Sus scrofa: one gene and its partner. The protein of the gene in region 2 interacts with the protein of the main gene of each other region in a pairwise test. Links are inferred from orthologs where the notes say so. Each region holds a gene or a part of one and is shown on either strand. Other genes may lie near its edges.

Region 1 (3,752 bases), on a different chromosome or scaffold from region 2:
TAAAACCATACCTACAGAATTGCCCCAATTTTATAAACTATCAGATAAAATAATTCCTAGGTAATGAAATAATGGGACTGGGACTTTTTTATGCTTTTGTTTTCTCATTTCTAAAATAAGAAAACCAGTTCTAAGTATCTAATTAGAAAAGATGCCATAAACATTAATTTAGCAAATTTTTAAAAAGATAACCAAAATATGGGAGTTCCCATCGTGGCACAGTGGTTAACGAATCCAACTAGGAACCATGAGGTTGCAGGTTCGATCCTTGGCCTTGCTCAGTGGGTTAAGGAACCAGTATTGCCATGAGCTGTGGTGTAGGTTGCAGACATGGCTTGGATCCCACGTTGCTGTGGCTCTGGCGTAGGCCGGTGGCTGCAGCTCCAATTAGACCCCTAGCCTGGGAACCTCTGCATGCCACAGGAGCGGCCCTAAAAAAGGCAAAAAGACCAAAAAAAATAATAATAATAATAATAACAAAATAACCAAAATATATATTATCATTCCAAAGATTTGAAAATCTGGAGTCAGGGTGGGGAGAGGAGAACTGAAAATATTTTCTTCAGATCAAGCAATCTGAATTACTGATGTCCACATATGGAACTTCACAACGGCGTTATCACTTTATATACTTTTAACTGTTTTCATCTTCACCATATCATTGATTTTTTTAAGCCAATCTAGTGATGAACATAATCAAAGAAATTTGTTTTTGTTTTTTGTCTTTTTGCCTTTTCTAGTGCCGCACCCGCGGCATATGGAGGTTCCCAGGCTAGGGGTCTAATTGGAGCTGCAGCTGCCGGCCTACGCCAGAGCCACAGCAACGCAGGATCCGAGCCACGTCTTCAACCTACACCACAGCTCATGCCCACGCCGGACCCTTTACCCACTGAGCAAGGCCAGGGATCGAACCTGCAGCCTTGTGGTTTCCAGTCAGATTCGTTAACCACTGCGCCACGACGGGAACTCCATTTTTTCTTTTTTAAGGCTACAACGTGGCATATGTAAATTCCCAAGCTAGGGGTCGAATGGGAGCGACAGCTGCCGGCCTACTACACAGCAAAGCGGGATCAGAGCTGCGTCTGCGATCTACACCACAGCTCAATGCTGGATCCCCGACCCACTGAGCAAGGCCAGGGATGGACCCCCCCCCCCCGCCCCGCCCGGCATCGTCATGGAAACTAGTCCGATTTGTTTCCACTGCGCCATAACAGGAACTCCTCAAAGAAATTTTTAATAGCTCTAGGGAAACTGATTATGGAAAGAGACATAAATGAATGGCAGAGCCAGGGCCAACGCTCCCAAGTGTATGCTGAACTAAGCTTACACCAAAGAACATTAAAACCAGGAGATATTAGCCACGCTGGATATACAAATGAGAAAATAGAGGTAGTAGGGTCACAGTCTAAAACATACTCTCTTCTGTAAGTCTCTATTTAAAAAAAGAAAATAGAAGATTGCTGACTCTAGTGACAAGAACGTAAAGATATATAACTAGATGAATTTTGTCACTTTTTACCTCCATGACTTAAGCTGCATTATATTTCCTCTGAACCTCAATCTCTGCCCCTCTAAAATTTGAATGCTGCCTTACCCACTTCATCTTGTGCTTCCATTTCCCCTACCCTCTTAGATTAGAGGATGCCGACAGCATTTACTTCATGGCACCCCTGCGCAATGGCTGTTGATCTGATAAACATGCTGTTTCTGCTCCTAGTTCGCTTTCAAGAAAGTTACCGGCCGGCTTTTCATGACCAACGCACGACTGCCATCTGGTGGCCGGCGGCCTTAGCTACAGGTAGCATTCAGAAGTTAAAAAGCCTCTCCAGATGGAGGGAATTAACCAGTTTCACTCCAAGTGACCGTAAATGTCAAAGGCAAATGAGGCATGACGGGCGTTGCAGCCAAAACTTCTCTAAAAGAAGTGTTCATAATTCCAACTAAAAACATCAAAACTGCCACAATCTTACTTAAAAACACTCATTAGCCCTGCCTCCCCTAAAAAACGCCAACTTCCAGTGTTTGCTGTTTCAAACTCCTTTGCTTTTCTTTCTCTGGCTTCAATACATCGAGAACAGGATTTCACTAGCCCAACCGCCTCTTTTATCCAGAGGAAGCTGAGGCCTAGGGAAGTGAAATAGCCAGTCTGGGTTCCCACACCCGGCGTCCTGACTCCCGTTCGAATTTACCGCGCGAGTGCCCGGGTCCGAGAGTGAAGACGAGCGTCCCAAGTGGACCCTCAAAGTCTCTCACCAGCAGACATATAGCTAACTCGGGGAAGGCTGGGCTGGGTTCGGCAGCCAGGGCCAGCCAAACCGGGCTTCCGGGACCCCGGCTCCCGGAATCTCCCGATCCACTGGCGCGCCAGCAACCCGCGCCCCTGCCACACGGTCCGGCCGTCGCGTTATCCGGAACCCTCACCCATGGGCCGTGGTCCACCCTCCGCGCCCAGCACTCACGCTCAGCCAGCATCGACATGTCGCCGAGCCTGTGACGCCAAGGGCTTCGAAACCTGAGCGACTTCGGCTCCGGTGCGTCCGACTTACTGAGAACCTAGAACCACAGGACTCACACGCCGGGCGAACTGCAGCGGCGAGGGCGCGCACTGCTGACGTCAGTGAGACGCGACCAGTTTCCAATTCCCGCGGTAGCGGGTGAGCGGGGAGCGGACCCATTGGGTCTCTGCGTTTGGGTCAAGGCGGGCTTTACTAAAAGGTTTGTTCCAACTCCAGAATTCCACGAGTCTGTGAAGTATCTATGAGTATAATCTACTAAAACGAACTGTTACTGAGTTTTGAATTTTTTTTAAATTACAGAATCTTATTGGTATTTTTAAATTGTCAGCTAGGAATAGATAGTGCACTTTTAGAAAGATTCAGTGTAAGACATTCTCATTCTGTCTTTGTTGTTTTGGGGGTGGGGGGGGGTTGGCCTTTTTAGGCCGCGCCCGCTGCATATGGAGGATCCCAGGCTAGAGGTCCAATTGGAGCTGTAGCCGCCGGCCTAAGCCACAGCCACAGCCACGGCAGATCCGAGCCCCGCCGCCTCTGCAGATCCTTAGCCCACTGAGCGAGGCCAGGGATCGAACCCGCGTCCTCATGGTTGCCAATCAGGTTCGTTAGCCGCTAAGCCACAACGGGAACTCCAAGACGTTCTATCTTATTCTTCAGGCTCATGGTAGACTCGCATAGAGCAGGGCTTTCTCAGACTTTAATGTTCGCGTGAATTACCTGGGGATCTTGTTGAAATGCATTTCTCTGGTTCAGCAGGTCTGGGATAGGGCCAGAGATTCTGCATTTCTAACAAACTTCCAAGGATGTGGATGCTGATGGCCTTACTTTGTGGGAACAACCAAAGGTATGAATGAACTCAGGGTTAAAATATACTCTGTTCTTTTTTTCCTATGAAGAAAAATGATTTATGAAGAACACTTTAGGTGATGGTGATAAATACTTTCAAAATATTTAAAAGAACTGAACCTAGGAGTTCCTGTTGTGGCTTAAAGGTAGCAAACCTGACTAGTATCCATGAGGATGTGGGTTTGATTCCTGGCCTCACTCAGTGGGTTAAGGATCTGGCGTTTCTGTGAGCTGTGATGTATGTCGCAGATTCCATTCAGATCCTCTCGAGGCTGCGGCTGTGGCGTAGGCTTGTGGTTACAGCTCCAATTCAACCCCTTGCCTGGGAACTTCCATACACTGCACCTGTGGCACTAAAAAAAACTAAAGTAAATAAAGCTGAGTATCATTAGT
Region 2 (2,948 bases):
GCTCCAGAAGTTACAGCCGGGTACCATACATGGTGTGCCAGCTGGTTATTGTAAACCAGCTGACGCCATAGCACACAGAATGAGGGTTTAGATAATGTATATAAAAATTGTCCAGTCATGGACAGGTTTCCCTCGCAGCTGTCGTGTCCCCTTTTTGGCCTCTGACTTGCACACCGCCGAGGCGTCCTGGCAATGTTGGGATTCCACATCGTGCACCCGATCAAGGCTGGGAAAGAGGGGTAGGGACCCCACTGCGGAGTATTGCTCACGTCCCCAAGTATGATTCCCAGGGATACCCTGGCCTGTTCCCCACTCGAGGGATCCATGTTTGTTGGGTGTAAGAGGCTTCCCCCCGCCCCCAGGGCTCCTACCCTCTCTGCTCAGTGCCCCCTCCAGGTGCAAACCCGCCTCCTTGAGGTACCTGCCACACCAGGGGGAGTTCTGTCCACCTAAGACTCTGCCCTGAGCTGCTGCCTCTTTAGGAAGCACAGCCCGTTGTGGTTGCTTCGCAGTGTGTGTGTCTGTGTATTTGAACATTTCTTTCCTCCCTAGATCTGAATGGCATAGATTTAACTCCTGTGCAGGACACTCCTGTGGCTTCGAGAAAAGAAGATACATACGTTCATTTCAATGTGGACATTGAGCTCCAGAAGCATGTTGAAAAATTAACCAAAGGTTTGTGGTGCTAAAAGTGGACCCAGATTCCGAATCTGACTCTTCGTTTTCTCCAGCTTTGACTCTGTCGTGTACCGTGACGGTCGTTTTAACTGCGACTGATGCTGTCGATGAGCCTTTTTGTTTACAGGCAGTTCAGGGACTGTCCCTGCTGTTCTCACTTGGCATTTTGTTCTCATAAATGTCCTTGAAGTACAGAGCTATGCCCCCCGGGAATGCAGGAAATAGATTATCTACAGATGATGCAGATGGATAATAAAAAAAAATTTAACTTCTTTAAAATGATGGTATCATATTTGGACTTTAATGTTTATCTTTTAATTTTTTATTTAGTTTCGTTTTTTGCTTTTTAGGGCCTCACTTGTGGCACATGGAGGTTCCCAAGCTAGGGGTCAAATCAGAGCTACAGCTGCCAGCCTACCCCACAGCCACAGCAATGCGGGATCCAAGCTGCATCTGCGACCTACACCACAGCTCAGGGCAACGCCAGATCCTTAACTTGATGATTGAGGCCAGGAATCAAACCCACATCCTTATGGTTCCTAGTTGGATTCGTTTCTGCTGCGCCACAACAGGAACTCCCTAATGTTGTTTTCAAATTGATTTTATTTTCACATTTATTCAGACCTCAGACATAGTCATGATGACAAGAATCCTGTAGCTGAAGAGACTAAGAAATGTGATCTGCTATCCTTTGGTTCCTTTTTTTAAAAATTATTTATTTATTTTTGTCTTTTTAGGGCCTCACCTGTAGCATATGGAGGTTCCCAGGCTAGGGGTCTCATCGGAGCTGTAGCTGCCAACCTACACCACAGTCACAGCAATGCCAGATCCTCAAACCACCTGAGTGAGGCCAGGGATCGAACCCACCACCTCATGGTTCCTAGTGGATTCGTTAACCACTGAGCCACGACGGGAACTCTGTGATCTGCTGTCTTAAAAATCCGTGAGGTTTTTTAAAAAATAAAATGCCTCCCTTATTGTCACAAAAGGGAGAAGAGACGTTCCTCCCTTGTGGACATGGCAGGGTCATACACCTGGGGACAGAGGGCACCAGTAAGCCGGCCGTCGTGCTCCTTTGGTGCCTGTGAGCAGCAGAGCCAACACGCCCGTCTCTCCCCTGCCCGCATCCTCTGTCTCCTGGGCCGGTGGTTTTTCTCTCCTCCCCTGATTGGAGAAGCGCTGGCTCCATTTGGCCCCAGGCGCCAGGGCTGCGCACCCTGACGAGCACTGTTGAACGTCTGGTCACTCTGAGTGTGATCCGCAGGGAAAGTACTGATGTGTGCTGACCGTCTGGAGGGCAGAGCCGGATCCAGCACTGCTCCGGCGAAGGCCGTGTCACTAAGTCGCCAGTCCAGAGCGAGCCCCTGGCTTCCTTGCGTCCCCCCGTGTCCCTCTAGAGATGAGTTGCCTTGGCTGCGTGGATGAGGCAATTTCTTCTTCCCGTTTTGGCTTTTTCTTTGGGGAGGTGGAGCGCGCTCATCTGCTGTGCTTTGGGGGAAAGAAAACTGAATTTTTCGTCACCATTTGCTCACTGGGGAGGGTGCAGGACACCCCTGCTCCTGAAACCCTCGTCCTCCATCGCCCCGTCTTTACGCCAGCGCGCCTCATTCCAGGCAACAGCGGGACTTGGACGCTGGAAAAGCTATCAGGAAATAGGTAACATTTGAAAGCTGAGCCAGTGCATGATTTATGTAGTTTGAACTCAAAACACCGCCAAAATTGAACTTTTGAGTTTTTATTTCAAACGGAAGAGAAACCATTTAAGCTTGGATTTTTTTCTGATTTTTTTTTTTTTTCTCTTTTTTTTAGGGCTGCACCTGAGCACTTGGAGGTTTCCAGGCTAAGGGTCAAATCGGCCTACACCACAGCCACAGCAACGCCAGATCCGAGCCGTGTCTGCGGCCTACACCACAGCTCACGGCAATCCCACATCCTTAACCCACTGATCGAGACCAGGGATCGAACCCGCAACCTCACGGTTGCTAGTTGGATTTGTTTCTGCTGAGCCACGACAGGAACTCCTAAGCTTGGATTTTCTGAAGAACTCTTTTGTGTGCCTTTTCTACTTAGAGTGTCTGCGAGTAATGTTCATACTTAGGCATCGTCCGTGTTCTTTTTGGAATGGTTAGTTACTCTCTGCTCCTGATGGTTCATAACTACACCTCATCCACATCCTGGAGTTTGCCGGCTCAAGACGTTTTGCTCTACTTTGTAGACCTGGGTCTGGGGACATGTCCCTCGGTTCAGAAACAGAAGTTTGGGGTGACAGC

What was found.
Region 1: the proteins of AIDA (region 2) and PINX1 interact in binary tests that used the Homo sapiens proteins (3 or more experiments, as listed by UniProt). The link is inferred for Sus scrofa from reciprocal best matches to the Homo sapiens genes AIDA and PINX1.

Annotation. Positions count from the first base shown.
Region 1 is NC_010456.5:14,039,223-14,042,974, forward strand, and holds the start of PINX1 (PIN2/TERF1-interacting telomerase inhibitor 1), read right to left. Parts: upstream 2,619-3,752; 5' UTR 2,479-2,618; coding exon 2,460-2,478; intron 2,089-2,459; exon of another isoform or gene 1,617-2,088; coding exon of another isoform or gene 1,595-1,616; intron 1-1,594. UniProt on the Homo sapiens protein: Microtubule-binding protein essential for faithful chromosome segregation. Mediates TRF1 and TERT accumulation in nucleolus and enhances TRF1 binding to telomeres. Inhibits telomerase activity. May inhibit cell proliferation and act as tumor suppressor.
Region 2 is NC_010452.4:11,432,959-11,435,906, reverse strand, and holds part of AIDA (axin interactor, dorsalization-associated protein), read left to right. Parts: intron 1-552; coding exon 553-675; intron 676-2,948. UniProt on the Homo sapiens protein: Acts as a ventralizing factor during embryogenesis. Inhibits axin-mediated JNK activation by binding axin and disrupting axin homodimerization. This in turn antagonizes a Wnt/beta-catenin-independent dorsalization pathway activated by AXIN/JNK-signaling.